2 linked regions of the Drosophila melanogaster genome follow. The main gene of each other region encodes a partner of the protein of the gene in region 2 in a complex. Each region holds a gene or a part of one and is shown on either strand. Other genes may lie near its edges.

Region 1 (7,605 bases), on a different chromosome or scaffold from region 2:
CCCTGCGGATGCAGTCGACCAGATGGGTGGGATCCAGAGTCGCAAAGGTGACCAACTGGGTGTGTGGCATATTTCTAAGGATCTCCATATCCATCTCAAACTCCTCGCCGGGCTGCATGCTATTCACATTAAAGATAAACACAATGGTCAACCGCTTCTGTTGCGGATGCTCAGTGTGGTTGGCGCTCTTTTCGCCCTCACTTATCATTTCGTTAATGATAGGCACGAAGTGTGCATCCTTCGGCGTCATGTTATCAATCAAGATCATATTCTGTCCGCAATATGTCAGGCCGGATAGCATGCTCTTCACTCGGCCCAAAGAAGAACTGCCGGTCCAGGAGAGTGTATTCACGTTCTCGGGCCAGGGAAACGTTTCGCGCAAGATTCGCGCAGTGTGGCTCTTGCCTACGCCAGAGGTGCCCACCAAGACGATTGCCTGTTTGGAAGGAGATCCGGGATATTAATACACAAAATATTGGCAATTCATTAAGTTTACTAAAGATCATCTAGTTGTTTGTTGCAATAACCAGGATAAATCTGGATGAGCATATACAACAACTGGTAGTACAATCAATAGTAAACTATACTAAGTGATATGGAAAATCCGCTTAGGATGCACATTAAATCTACTGTTTCCCCGCTAGTCACCTCATTGGTGGTGTTGTCCAGTGCCAGTTCTAGCTGGTTCAATGCAAGATCCTGGTTGAGTACCTGGTGGCGGGCGTGCAGGACCATGTCGCCCAGCCGTCGGGAGGGATTGCAGTAGTTGTCCTGGTTGTGGACGATCGAGTGGTACTGGTTTTTGTAGCTTTCCAGGAATCCGCTGACCGTGGACAACTTGTCGGTGAACTGCAATAACATGCCAATTCCTGCGGCGAGGGCGAGAATGAGGTATGCCCAATTCCGCCATGGAGCCTTCTTCTGGGTACAATGGGCAATGTCCAAATGGTGTTTGCACACCTTTTTATTCAACCGCCTGTTGGACTGCAGGCGGCGAATCTCAGTCCTCCTCTTTCTGGCGAATGGCCGGCTTATCGGGGCGACCACATTTTCATTCTTTTCGTTCTGTATTAGAGTATTGTATGTGACCATTTTATTAAGCCTTGTTTCGTTAGCAACTGGATATTTTTGGCTGACTTGTGCTCGAATACAATTATCAGCCTACTGTGATACAATTTGGTAAAAACTTTGGTTGCATGTTACAAACCGGCAAATTATTCTAAATGCCGCTTCCTTCATGCAGTATTTCACGAGTGTTGTTTTGATAGGCAAACATATTTTGGTATTTTACTATCGAAACATTCTTCTGTTCTGCCAATAAATACAATTTTAATAAGTATTTTGTAATACAATACAAGGTATAAATTAAAATAGTTTCAATCAATGTAAAATTAATGAAAATACGTAAATTTTAATTTTAGCTTATTGATAGTCGGAATTGTACTACGATTTAAATAAAGGTATATTTTAGGTAGGTATTTATTTAACATGTGTCAATGTTAGTATATTTTACGAGCCTAAACAAAAACGGTCAGTTTGCAGTAGCCGACTTCTTAAAACTGTCATTATTTTAATATTTCAATAACCCGGAGCAAATCCCAGGCAGTTAATCCGATCCGCAATGACGAACGAAGATGTGGGCACCAACAGCGTCGCCGACCGCCTACAGTTGGGTCCGCGCGAAGGCGTCACCTATCCGATCCAGATGAAGTACTGTGGCCACTGCACGATGCCCATTGAGGTGAGTTCGTCTTCAAACCTGGGAAAAATCCATATTAGGGATCATATATGGCCCATATATTTACATATATATATATCCACTATACGCAGTACTGCGAGTACTATCCGGAGTACGAGAAGTGCAAGGAGTGGCTGGAGCTCCACATGCCCGATGACTTCGAGCGACTAAAGATTGAGGAGGAGGCTGCCGCCGCTGACGGGACGGATGACGACAAGAAGCGCCAGAAACGCGGTGGCAAGGGACTGTTGCGCGTCAAGAAGAAAGAGGACGTGCCCAAGCGTATCTGCGTCTCGCGGGCGGCACGTGGCAAAAAGAAGTCAGTGACCGTGGTCACAGGATTGAGCACTTTTGGTAGGTTCTGTTCGCACATTATGAGTATAGAGTAGGAAATGGAGGGGGATGCGGGCCCACTGGATGCTATGAGTAGCCATTACCATACCATGTAACTTAGATATATTAGATATACTTATGAGCTTTATTGTTAACTAAGCATAATACATTCCCTGTCTGTTCCAGATATTGATCTCAAGGTGGCCGCCAAGTTCTTTGGCACGAAATTTGCCTGCGGCTCCTCGGTTACCGGAGACGACGAGATCGTCATTCAGGGTGACGTCAAGGATGACTTGTTCGATGTCATACCCGAAAAATGGGCCGAGATCGATGAGGACGTCATCGAGGATTTGGGCGATCAGAAGCGAACATAAATAATTTACCTTTTTTTTTAGCTTATTTTATACGCTCCATCAACATAAATATATGAAACGTTAAACGTAATAAGCGGATGGGTTATTTTGGCGGCTGCTACCCGAGGTTTTCTCCATCTGGTGTCGGATTGGACTTGGTTTCCATTGAAGTGGGTGCATCCGTTGCAGGCGCTGTAGTGGCTTCATTTGCTGGAGTAGCATTATTTTCTGAAGACGATGTTTCCACTGGGCTTGCTTCTTCTGCTGGAGTAGTAGTAGTGGCTTCACTTGAAGGAGTAGCGACATTCGCAGGAGTAACTCCATCACCTGGCGTGGTTTTGTCCGCTGGAGCTATTTGTTCCGCTGGATTGGATTTTGCCTGGGCATTACGCTTTACGCCAGATTGCTTGCCGGCCTTCGCAGTGGACTCCGCAGGCTTTTCCGCCGGTGTTTCCTTAGCAGCGCCTTTGGTTTCTCCACCATGGAAGTGTTTGTAGCTCAGCTGAATGATTTTCTCGTTCTCCTCATCGGTTAGTGGAGCTTTATTGTCGTCGATGAGCTGGGGAGGTTATTATATACTTAATTAGCCTTTCTGGCATATGATAGACTAATCCTTACCAGTTGCGTGTGTAGTGCACTTGTAGGCGGATCGTTGATCATTTGCAGGATCTCTTGGGACTTTAGACGATAAGAAGACAGGTCTTTAACGTAATTCATAATGTTCTCACGAGTTTGTGTCTTGCAGGGCGACTCCTCCAGATACTGCAGTGCCTGTGGAACAAAGTGTTTGGTTAATTTATCATATATTAGTTAAATATTTAAAAAAATCGACACCTCATAGGTAACCGTGGCCAAGTTGCGCATGCCGAACTTCTTTTTGGTGCTTTTGATCTTCTGTAGAATCTGCATTACCTCCAGATTGGTGAGGTACGAGAACGTGGGATTGATCCTGAAATGGAAGCGTTATCATCTGCATATTATTCGCTGTTTAATGGAAAAACTAAATAAAAACAAAACAATCCTCACGTTTCCATTTCTGCAAATTTTAGTATGACCGCAGAGCGAGCGCTAAAATATACCCCACCTACGCATATTACAGTTGGCCTTTATATATTAACATAACAGATAATTTATACATGAATAAAACGATCTACTCAACAAATTAAATGGTGTTGAATTAATTTGTTGTTAAAATTTGTTATAATTGGTTTTTGCATTGGAGTATATTTGTTGCAGTAAGGCTATGGTCACACTAAAGCATCGCTTACCATAACATTACAGCGAATTCCGCCACTGTTATTGGATTGTGCCACCTGCTGTTAAAGCTTTGGAGTCCACTCCGCGGAAGGAAGCAGAGGATGTGGATGCGGTGATACTGGAATCTTTTGAACGGCATGCATTCCCATACGAATGAGACGGCTGCGACGTCGACAACGGCGGGCGCGGTCACGAATGGAGCAGGCGGATCAGGAGCTGGAGCAGCGGGTGCCCATGGCAGCACGGAGGGCAAGATCCGGTGCATCTTCCTCAGCGAGTTTCATGCGACGGCGGGCTGCAAGATAAGCTGCCAGGTGAGCTGGTTCCCAGGAGCGCTGATAACGCAGTATAGTTCGAACAAATCCACGTCCCTCAGGTTCCTGATAACTACATATCCAAGGATGTGTTCGATGCTATCAATGTTTACATCATACCCAAGCAGCATCTTCAACGCTGCATTCTCACCGTCAACGCAATGGATGTAAAGATAGTCGGCTATCCAGTGGGCATCCAGGATCAGCAGAAGTACGCACGGAATGCCTTCCTGTTTAACCTATGCTTTGTCTGCGACTCGCGGGCCAGGAGCGTCCAGTACGAGCCGGTCGTCAAGAAGCTGTCCGAGTACCTCATAATGATGGAGGAGGAGTCGTGCTTCCTGTCTCGCGAAGATGACAAGCGCCGCCTACAGAACATCTTTGAGACTGTACTACGCGACCTTAACGAGCGGAAGGTGGCCACCATTGTTGAGGGCGATAACACTATATACCTGAAGATCGTCATGCACAAGCCGGACCCGCCGCCGGTCAAGGATCACATGGTGCCCCTGCTGCTGGCGAACCTGCGCGATGCTCCGCTGGACAACTGGGACCTTACCACACAACAGGTGCGGACTATTCCTGATTCTATAGTTATACAATCTTCACGATGTAAATAATTTAGTAATCCCATTGGACTGTTATGGTTTCCTCTAGATCCTGCCTTATATAAATGGAATCAACCATGTTGCCCGCATTGCCGCCGAAGCGGACGTGGAAACGGACCTGGTCAAGTCGTGCATACAGAATCTGGTCTACTACGGGGTCGTTCAGCTGCTGCCAATCCTGAAGTACAGCAACGTGTACATGACGCAGAACCTAAAGCATCTCATCCAGAGCGCATCACTGAGCGGCGCATGCCGGAAATACGTGGCCTTGCGTCCGGACAAGACGCTGCCCAGTGTTCAGCGCATCTTTCAGTTCTACGCCTCGATGACTCACGGCGTTACTCTGCGAGCGATCTGCCAGAGATTGTGCCCCCAGCACCACAACATCGATGAGCGTCGCATGGTGATCTTCGGGCTGCAGCACCGATTCATTCGCTGCATCCACAAGTACCCGGTGTTTACGGGCTCAGTGCCTTCCGGGCGGCAGAAGATGTACACCGGGCTGATCAGCTTTGACGAGATCTGCTGCAAGACGGGCCTCTCGCCCTGCACCATCGAGCGGGATATCGAGAAGGACACGAATGTGACTGTGATCTGGAAGTGACGACCGGAAGGACTTCTCCGGCCAGTTGGGTTTGTTGTAGTTTGTAAGCGAACCGATTGTTATGTTTCCAAATGCTTTTTTATATACGCGCATATACACATTAAAGTTTAAGAATTCACTGGTTTGGCTTGGGCTGGTTCCGGAATCGCTTTGCCAGCTGGACAGCAATCAGGAATCCTTTGCGCTAGAGATAATGCAATCCTGAACCGCCTGGGCCACACAGGCGTCCTCCGAGGCCATGCCTTAAATAGGAAATGTATGAAATTTTTAATGATACAACTTTGAAACAGACAGAGATAGTCATATAGTTACACAAACTTAATAAAAACGCACCCATGGATTGAAAGATGCTGATTTCTAGCTCCTTGGGATAGTTTCCATCCAGAATGATCTGACCCACTTCAGCGGTGATCGGCGCAGGTAATCCCACCAATTCAGCCTCGGCATTGGCATAGCAATCCACGTAGACCTTGGCCTGCTGGTAAATCTTTGGAGCCACCTCCGAAAAGTGAACTTCGCCGGCTCCCACAGCTGAAATCGAAAGTTATAAAGGGTAGGTCATCATCATCCATCCAGCATTCCATTATAACAGCAGACCTACCGTTAATATGAACAGCCCGTTTGGATTTCAGATCTGCCAACTGGATAAGCGGCTCCTTGGAGTACGTGGCGATGCAGATGATATCGGCATCCTGGCAAGCTTCGTGAGGACTTGGACATACAGTAATCTGGGTTCCGCTCTCGGTGTTCAATTTCTGCCGCAGTTGGTCCGCTAAACCCAGTGCCTTTGCCTGCGTGCGATTGTAAAGATTAAGCTGCCTCACCCGGAAGTTCGCGCAGAAAGCGGCAGCATGGAGTTGTCCTTGAACTCCACAGCCCACGATGGCCACGTTGATATTCCTTTCCTGCTCCGCCTGCGCCCCAAAGCGCCTGAAGTACAGATACTTGGTGGCCACCAGTGAAGCGGATACAGTGCGCCAGGTGGTCAAGTCCGTGCCCTCCATTATGGCCGACAGTTGACCGGTTTGATTGTCGAACAGCAGCACATGGGCATGGATGCTGGGCAGCGGAGGATCCCGTCGGGGATTCCCACTGAACGAGGTCACCAACTTGCAGGCCAGTGTTGAGTGGGTGTGCTCCACTTCCCCAGGATCCCTTGACGATTCCAGCCTGTAGTTGCCCACATAGGCGGGCATGGTGAGCAGAACCTTGCCAGGTTCCTTGCCGCATGGAATAAAAGTCCTCTTCGGTTGAAAGGCAAAGGATGTGGAGGGCGTTTCCGGATTCTGCTTAACTATAGCTACAAGTGCAGATTCCACTGCCTTATTGACCAGCGGCCAGGTGAGAACCTGACGCACAGCATCCGCATTGTAGTAAGCTGGCGTAGAGCTGCTCATATTGGCAATGAAATGGTTTTAAAACAAAGTAATTCTTGCAAATTAAAATATTCTAATTATAATTGGAATGCAACTTAGTATCTTACTAACGATCAAAGAATGCACTGACCAGGGATGCCAGGTTTTAGGAATATTGTTGTGGAAATAACTATATTAAGCAATGTTTTAATTTCTGATAATATATATTAGAAATATATTAAGCTTAAATACTGTGACTGTACTCTATCAATTTTGAAAATTGGACTCATTGTACATTTTTGTCTTACAAAAGCTTATTTAGTTTGAAATCTTGGCAGCACTGTTGACTTAAACTTAAAAATTAACTAAAAAATACCGTTACTATCATTTAAACACCTATCGAAATCAACAGTCGATAACTTTGATGATGCAAAGCGTTGAAATTTTAAATTGAAAGATCAAGGTGATCATTATTTGATAATATTCAACGTATTGAAGAAAAAACAATGACGTTCGGTTTAAATCAGGAAAGACCATTATCTGAAGTGGGAAAAACCACCAACCGAAAACCAATTTTCACGGGCGACTGTTTTTCCTCATTTCTAATGCAGTTTTCCCCATTCTTCGGCATCGCTGGGAAAATGCATTTTCACCGCACGCCAAGGGCGAAACCGCAGCGCTCAAAAAGGGAAACCGCTTCTGTCAACGGCTTTATCGCCCCGAAACGATTCTCGCAAACAGCTGGAAACTGAACCACAGCCCACACAACCCGTCCACTCCACTCCACTCCAATCCAATCCCACCCAGACCAATCCAATTCGGAGCCGCAGCAGGCGACACGAAAGTGAAAAGCGAATGCACTTTTCCGAGGCTGCAGCTGATAGGGAAATTAATTTATGCGCCGCCATTGTCTTTCTGGTCGCGCCATTTTATTTTCCCAGCTGCTAATTCAAATTTTGACATAATTTCTTCACTGTGCGCCTCCGTCGCATGCTTTCTCGCCTTTTTCCCAACCAATTTCACTTGACTTGACCTTTGCGCGG
Region 2 (8,480 bases):
GCTGCTGTTGTTGTTGTTCTGGTGGCAGGCAATGCGAATGTTGTCGTTGCTCAGATTGCTGAGTGCGCTATCCTTCAGCTGGTCGCACAGCTCATCCACGTCGGACCGGAGGCTCTCGCTGGAGAACTGGACCTTCTTGATGCACGCCTTGGGGAATCGCTTGTCACTCGCTTTTACCGCCGAAGGAGGTGCTGCTGGAGCAATAGGAGGCTTGCTGCTGGTGGTTGTTGCCGTTGCTGTAGCTGCAATCACGCTGGAGTTGTCTGTAAGCAGAGATAAGGAAAACAAGGTACGCGTGAGTCGTGGTCAAAAGTCGTATACACATAATGAACTAATTAAACTGGGTTATCAGCTAGGTGTGCGATTTGTGTGCCCTTCAAGTGTTTCGGTTTAGCAAAGTGGGGGATTCTTACGATTGGTGTTGCCGTTGTCGCTGTCGCCAGTTGTTGCTGTCGTGGCGGATGTTGCTGCAGACGATTGGACGGGTTTGGATCTTTTCTGGCCGCGGCCAAAGATCAATGTCAAGAGGAATGCGAGAAAAGCAGCCAGAGTGCCTAATATCGTGATCAACATCGGCTAAATCCAAAAAGCTGCTTTAAATCGGTGAATGCAAATCGGATTAGATAATCTGCTATCTGGTGGCCAGCTAGCTGGGTTAGTTTACAGTGTGTAGATAGTGAAAGTGCCTGTGCATCATCTTGTTTCGGATACTTTTCAAGTTCAAAAACCTTGCCACGATATTGTAGGCCAAAGCGGCGAAACAAAACAAAATGAAAATGCTAATCAATGCATTAACTAGTTTGCGAGATACAATTAAGAAACCGAAAAAACAACCATATGAGACCCAAAAATAAATCGTTGCCAGGTCAATGAGGCAGCTGATAAGAGATGTGGTCAACGAATAAGGTATACTCTACGGGAAATTCAAACTAATCTACAGATCAAGCGGGTGACTTCAAAAGTATGCAATAAGTATTTCAAAGTACGTTGTAAAGGCGCAAGTGAATATTATGTTTAGCAACTACGTAATTAGTGACAGGTGTCGAATTACGATTTAATCAACACTATTACACCTGCATATATCACTTGAAAAGTTTCAATCTAAGTACATATCAAAGTTTTCAATATACTATACGAAAATACAGGAGCTCAAGCTGTTTCCGGGTCAAAGATGGCTTCACTACTAAATAATCTACTTTAGATACCCTTTGGCAGGGCGATAAAACTTAAAAACACGAAAATTAATTTCGGATATGAGGTTCAATGTGCAGCGCATTTAAAATTAAAACAAAACGGCGAAGAGCGCGAAGGGAAAATTGAAGAAACTTAAGCTGACAGAAACAAAACCCCCCCAGTTGGTTGGTTGGTGTGAGGAAATGCAAATCGGTGTGGTATGGCCAGCAGAAGAGGTCAATGATTTTGGCATTACAGTATACATGTGTGCACGTGTGTAAGTGTGCCAGCCAGGCGGCGGGCATTGAAAGACACGGAAAGTCGGATTGGACACCGGAATCGATCTCTGGCAACCAGCGGGGTGTTATGTAACCGCTTACTCGGAAATCGCGCAGAGAACTGGGACTTGGGTTACACTCTGCGCTGGAAACGACTCAACAGGTGTGGCCCGGTCCCGTACTCAAGTAGCTCCGTTAGTGCGCACCCTCGCAATGGATGGAGTCTTTTAATTGTGCTTTATTTACCACCGATCCTGTGATAAGAACTCTGCTGGCATTACTCAACAGTCGAAAACAAAAGAATCTTACTCGACGTGCGATTATCTCTAGGGCAGCACTTTTCGGGACCTTGGCTGGATATGATACGGTTGTGTTTTGGGTTTAGTTCGTCTTAGGATTTAGATCTACGGTTTCAGCTCGCTTTACCACTCTGCGTGTGCCCTTGTTTAGCTTGTGATGGCAGTTTCGAAGACGAGGTCGGACCGGATCGGATCGGATTGTAGTAGACCGTGTAGGATCGGTTTGAACTTCCTAGACTGACTGGTTCCGCACGATTTCTAGATGGCTACTGCAGTGACCGACGATTGGAACTCAACTGGGCCATGCTCGTCCGAAAAGCACTATCGATGCCTGAACGCCGCTTCTCCGAACGCGCAGCGGACGCCGACTTCGGCGTCGCCACTATCAATATCAACTATAGCTATAGCTTTGACTACGTCTACGGCCAGGTTTTCGTGCGCGGACCTGTGTTTGTGCGTGTTCAGGTTGTTGCGCTCGTATGTTAATCGCCAGCGGGTCTCGCGGGTCGCCAAGCCAATTGTTGTTGTTGTTGTTGTGTTATTGTTTTGCTTATTGCTGGCTCAGCCAGCGCCAAGTGACCAGGAGGAATATATGTGCACTATGTACTACATAAGAACTACATATGTACAAGGAGCGCCACTAATTCGAACAGAAAGGCGGTCGAATTAAGCGGGGCAACCTGCCGGATTAATAACAATTTTTATGAAGGTGGCTCAAGTAATGACGACCAGTGTGCTCCGTCGGTTTCAGTGATCTTTTTGTGAACCAATTATGCCATAACAATGTCCGAATAAATAAATGCTGGGTACAGTGGCACCAGAGAAATATTTAACAAAATCATTTCTTTATTGTCGTCAGTGATGAATAAGGTTTCTGTATATACCGATTCAACAAGTTCTGGAATAACTACAATGACATTTTGTTTTATATTGGATTTTTTGCGTAGTTTCCAAACTAAAAACTCATAAAAACTAACCATAAAAGCATGCCCTTCCAGCGGCAATCGCAATCAGCTTAACATCAGTGAGTTCCACTATAGGAAAGTTCCACTGTTGCACAGCAATTATACCTTAACGGTCTGCGGCTGATAAAAGATAAGAGCGACATGATGATGGCGATCAGCTGTTGCCAACAACCGTCTACCCCTCTCTGTCACTAGCAGTGCGTCCCGCTCTTTTCTCTTCCATGTATCTCTGTCTCATGGGCGGCGGTAGCTTTTCAATGTCAAGGTCGCCGATGGCATTCGGTACTGCTGTTGTTGTTGTTGCTGCTCCAGCTGGACTTAATCTGGGAGTTGACCCAACCGCTGACGGAAATGCACTCTGCTGCTGGGAGCAGCAAGCAGCAACAACAACGACCATAATTTCTCAATTTGCTGGCGTAAGTGGCAAGCGATGCTGATTAGGGTTAAATGGGCGAAAACGCCAGAAATTGATTAGCGCGATGCACTTGAATCGAATTATTATTAACGAATTCAGTGCGCTGCCACGAGCAGAACACGCGAACGCCGCTGATTTGTTTTCATTCCGTGATGCTCGCTGCTCCCGGCATCAGCAGAGGTTTTTTAAAAGTCATAAAAGAAATTCCCGACGCGACGCCCGCTTTAATCTCAGATAGGCGGCGAGTGCCTGAAAAATCTTCCGATTTCGGCATTGGCCTTGGCGACCGATTATGATTAATACTTAACGGTGACGGGTCTTCATGGTTTCGGCTCGGGCTCAATTCCAAATCTTTCCCGGCATCTTATCGCACGGAAATTTTTGTATTTCGGTGTTCGATTCTGTTCGAATTATTCATGTTTGGCGCGTGGCCAGAAAAAAACCGTCTACTGATATCACAGCCAAATAATAATAGAACCGAAAGTCGGTCGCGTGTGAAACGCCTGATTTCGATGTGCTTATCTCTAGGATTTCTACAGAGCAACAAACAACCGATTTGTGCGTGATAACACACTTGAAATCTTGTAGACACTGTAAAGTGCACGGTTTACAGTTAAATTGTTTTTTAATTTCTTAGCAAAATACTACGAATTTGTAGTGACTGCGTTGGATTGAATTTCCGATTCGAGTCCTTGTGATATGCTCATATTTCATAAATATACTTATATCGTATTTATGCAATACAATACCAACAAGAAATGCAGTCTCCAATTTAGTTCTTATTAGGTAATTGATGCCGGCCGACATACACACACGTTGGCAGCTATGCTGCTCTCTCGCCCATACACACACACACACATACGTCACGGGCATCGCGCGATGTGTAAAATCCAATAGGAATCAAGGTCAGCAGCGAGTGCGCGAGCGAGAGAGGGCGAGCAAGGCAAGACATATTGAGCATATTGCAGATGGAAGCAATTGGAATTTATGCTGCCCATTGCACTTTGATTGAAATCCGCACTTTAGCCAGCGAATTCAAATGCTAAACAAACGCGGGTCCCGATCTACATACGACTATGCTGTGGGGTTGTTCACCCCACTCATTTGCATACACATATGCGCATACATTTCGCTCGGATCGTATCGTATAGGATCGGGCCGTAATTACCCGTTTAGTGCTTAGATTACCGCACTTACTCTTCTCCATCGCACTGCGCTTCGCACGTTTCTTTCGGTTGGCAATTTTGTTGTGTGTAACTGTTCTTTTCCGGGTGCAAAACGGCCTCTTGGCGGCTATTGGAGTCCTGACTCTCCGACTAGTGTGGTTCTCGCGAATCCCGGATGGGCGTGTGGCACGGCTGATACGTTATCAGCTTGTGATCGACTAGAGTACTGTGTTTTGTTATTTTTCGCTCGATTTTTTATTCGTATTTCACGCGTAATTCGGACCACTAACTCGGTGTGACCGTTCGCCTGGGCGTACTGAAAAAATACTGAGCAAGGTAAACAACAGCTGTTCGGCGGCTGTTTGCAAGCCAACCCTGTCTCTCCTTGTAGGGCTGCATTACCGGCGCAGATTTTTCGGCGCGTGCATTTTATAAACAACATTTCGGTAAATAAGTTGAGTTTTTATCATGTTCGACGTGGAACCCATTATTGCCGACCACAAGGATGTGATACACGACGTGGTCTTCGACTACTACGGCCGCAGGATGGCAACCTGTTCCAGCGATCAGACCGTCAAGGTGAGGACTCGAATTATTCCTACGATAAACAGCCTAGGTGATCCGGATTTTCTGCTTGCAGATTTGGGACGAGGATGGGCAGGGCAAGTGGAATGTCACGAGCAGCTGGAAAGCGCACTCCGGCTCCATTTGGCGCGTTTCCTGGGCGCACCCGGAATTTGGCCAGGTTGTGGCCACATGCTCATTTGATCGCACCGCCTCCGTTTGGGAGGAGGTGATTGGCGAAAAGGTATCCTCCACCAATACCCCCACTCGCCGCTGGGTGCGCCGCACCACCCTTGTAGACTCGCGGACCAGTGTCACGGATGTGGAGTTTGCACCCAAGTACCTGGGACTCCTGCTGGCCACCGCCTCCGCCGACGGCATTATTCGCATCTATGAGGCCCCGGACATTATGAACCTCTCGCAGTGGCCCGTGCAGCACGAGATTAGCAACAAATTGCCGCTGAGCTGTTTGTCCTGGAACACTTCCACTTACATGGTCACCCAGCTGCTGGCGGTGAGTATATTTAAATTCCAAGTCTTAGTCTATTAAGGATTAATTCTATTATCTGTGGAGTAAGAATAAGCCTAATTTTCATAAATTATTTTGCAGGCGGGCAGCGACGAGGCAGCCACGCCTACTGGCAAGGTCTTCTTATTCGCCTACAGCGAGAATTCCCGAAAGTGCGTTAAAATCGATACTGTCAATGATATAACCGATCCGGTCACGGATGTGGCCTTTGCTCCAAATGCCGGACGCACCTTTCACATGCTGGCAGTGGCCAGCAAGGATCTTTATATTGTGAACTTGCGGGGTGTAACGTAAGATCGACAATTTAAAGACCCAAAATCATTTAATAATAATAATTTTTATAATTAAAGGGACGCCACGGACATCTCCAAGTTGGACATCCAGACCATTAAGTTTAGCGAGCACAATTGCCCAGTGTGGCGCGTCTGTTGGAATATGCTGGCCACGATGCTGATCTCCACGGGCGACGACGGTTGTGTGCGTCTGTGGCGAATGAACTACAACCGGCAGTGGCGCTGTGCCGCCGTCTTGAAGGCAGAGGGCAGCGGACCCACCTACGAGCCTGCTCCGCCCACTCCGACACTGGCCACTACCGCCTCGGCCACGGCCAAGTTCTACAAAAAGGGCACCATCGGCAACCAGGTGCCGTGGCACTGATCTTGTTCTTAATTGTAAGAGTTCCGAATAAATTCCTAAGTTAAACCTCAGCCGCTTGCCTTTCAATATGAGTGGTTTTCTTTAGTTATGTTTAGAGTTCACGGTATTAATGTTAATGTTATTAATGAAGTGAACTATCAATGGGTTTACGCATTATTCAATCGTTTTAAAGATTCCGTGGAACGATAATTTTCTAGAAAAATATTTTTGATTAAACTTTATCTTGGTGCCACCATGAACCAAACTTATATCACTGTGCGGAATAGTCCACGTAGTGTTCGTCGCGCACCAGAAGACACAACGAATCTTAGTAGTCCCGAATCATGAATCAATAAATCTACTCGGTTATTGTCGGATTGTACGTTTTGCTATAAAGTTGGAATCGCATCATTTGCGTAATTCGTGGATACTTCCCATACGAAATGGGTCTAAACGAATATTCGGAAGGCCTGTGTGTTTTGATACCACCACTTACATCTCGGATTAGAAGCCGGCATTCTTGCGAATCCAATGAATAGCTTTCTGGTCCACATTTCCCCAGTTCAGTGTTCCTCAGATCGCTTTTCCTAGGGCATTTTCGCGTTACATCACAAAACGTGGAGCTCTCAATGCTCCAAAGTGCCAGAAACTAATAAAAAAACAATGGGATGTTACTTCAACTTCTGCCTGCCGGCTGGCAAACTAGAGCAACTATTGATTTTGGACAACTTCCCGAAAGGCGAAGAATCAAAACAGAATTAAAGTTCACACAACGAGAAAGAGCGAGCACTAGAGATAGTGACTATAATGGCAAGCACTCTCCATACGGTCACATGTGTGTGTTTGAGGGAGAGCGGCAGATCTGATGTGCTAGCTATTTTAAAAAACCCCATGGCACAGGCCAAATCCGAGATAGATCCATCCCATTCGAGTGGGTCGGGACCAGCAGAGGTGAGGAGGAAAAGGCATTTTCGGGTTCAGTGGTTGCATTCAAATCGATTTTATTGAGATTTATTTATGGGCTATGTATTCTCGATTAACTCCTCACACGGGAGTACATAAATGGATCATAAATCCCTTTCAAGTGCACTTCCATTTACATTCCATCCACATGTGCATAAATTAACTAGGACGCCGACAAGTGCCCAAAAACAGGGTTTTTATTATGTTTAACACGGAAAAGCATTCAGAAATGTCGCGAAATATTCCACTTAATTGACTCGAACCGCAATAAAAACGAAATCATCGCACTTTCGATGACACCACAAAACTATAATAATAATAATGATATGCAACCACCCCTCCGCGGGCTTCGTCCTTGCGATCCTGTTGCTCTGCTGGTAATCCAAAGAATGAAATCCGTCCGACCAGCTCGATGGCTTTTGTAGTCACCGATGAAACCACCCCGGTTCGGTATCACAAGTTCCCTGTCCCAGATCCGAATGATTGTCTCTAATTGGAAGTTTTGACGTGTGTATTACGTCGAAGGCGATGGTGTTGACGCCGATCTCTGGGCCAGGACGAACCACCCCTGTCTGGGGCATATTGTAATCGCTGGTGGGTGGTGGTTGCGCTGCTCGCCGCGTGGGAAGTCAAAGCTCAGGGGTCTCTCACATGGTCGCGAACGTGGTAGGTCGCCCGAATCACTTATATGTGTTTAACCGGCAAAAAGAAATTAATGCGCAAAAGATTGTTTCTCGTTTTTTATTGCCAGGGGTGGTGTTTCGCAATGTTCCCACACTCCATGGACAGCAATTTCGGTTGCTGGGTTTCAATGTAATTGTAATTTTGGTTTCAAGTGATTTTTGTGGGCCAAGAGAACAAATTACAAGTAGCTAAAGTGTGTTGAATTAAATTAAACTATGAGCTCGGGATTTGCGATAAATATTTCAATTCTTAAGCATGCGAATTGAGGAAATTAACTTAGAATTAAGTAAAGGTTTCTAGACTAGCATTCCTAACAATTGTTTCATTTTGCATTGCATTGTTTTTAACCGCTTTTCATCTAATTTCTGGGTCATTAGAACGTTTTGCTCGTTAGTTTACCATTGGAACCAAAACAGAAACCCTTTTTTCGGGAACATGTTGAGCAGCTTAGGTAGCCACCAGTCCCTCTAGAAACACATTTGGCCTACGAAAGCACCCTAAACTAAACTAATATGCCAGCGTATATTAAAATATTTTAACCCTGCTACCTTTGTGACACTGTTTCCCTTTTGGGGATTATGTTTCTGGAGCAGGGACAAGATCCTGCGGTCGCCAGCTTTCCAGTTTTCCTCGATAATTTCCCGTTCCTCGTGGTGTTCGGGGTTGCGACCCCTGCACCTTGCTAACCCCGCTCCCTAATTACGAGTGCAGCGAGTGTGCAGCCGGCTTAGCTAACCGCCGCGGATTGGGTGCTCATGTGTTTATTATTGCTGGGTATGCAAATTTCATAAACCGTGAGCGGCATTCA

The links. The genes of interacting proteins can lie anywhere in the genome.
Region 1: Nup44A (region 2) and Nprl2 share a complex: the UniProt entries of both Drosophila melanogaster proteins name them as parts of the GATOR complex.

Annotation. Positions count from the first base shown.
Region 1 is NC_004354.4:16,880,454-16,888,058, reverse strand, and holds Nprl2 (nitrogen permease regulator-like 2), read left to right. Parts: upstream 1-3,693; 5' UTR 3,694-3,818; coding exon 3,819-3,995; intron 3,996-4,057; coding exon 4,058-4,564; intron 4,565-4,652; coding exon 4,653-5,207; 3' UTR 5,208-5,375; coding exon of another isoform or gene 5,376-5,449; 3' UTR 5,450-5,540; downstream 5,541-7,605. Other genes in the region: CG4880 (uncharacterized protein), read right to left, coding at 1-436, 649-1,092; DENR (density regulated protein), read left to right, coding at 1,622-1,741, 1,831-2,092, 2,258-2,445; Polr3I (RNA polymerase III subunit I), read right to left, coding at 2,543-2,983, 3,043-3,195, 3,259-3,373, 3,451-3,458; CG4872 (uncharacterized protein), read right to left, coding at 5,376-5,449, 5,541-5,738, 5,809-6,604. UniProt on the Drosophila melanogaster protein: An essential component of the GATOR subcomplex GATOR1 which functions as an inhibitor of the amino acid-sensing branch of the TORC1 signaling pathway.
Region 2 is NT_033778.4:7,985,189-7,993,668, forward strand, and holds Nup44A (nucleoporin at 44A), read left to right. Parts: upstream 1-3,273; 5' UTR 3,274-3,321; intron 3,322-3,343; exon of another isoform or gene 3,344-3,439; intron 3,440-4,327; exon of another isoform or gene 4,328-4,526; intron 4,527-4,643; 5' UTR 4,644-4,764; coding exon 4,765-4,875; intron 4,876-4,936; coding exon 4,937-5,374; intron 5,375-5,470; coding exon 5,471-5,679; intron 5,680-5,739; coding exon 5,740-6,046; 3' UTR 6,047-6,095; downstream 6,096-8,480. Other genes in the region: ACC (Acetyl-CoA carboxylase), read right to left, coding at 1-263, 414-573. UniProt on the Drosophila melanogaster protein: Probable component of the nuclear pore complex (NPC). Involved in maintaining the localization of another nucleoporin Mgtor to the nuclear envelope of early meiotic female germline cells.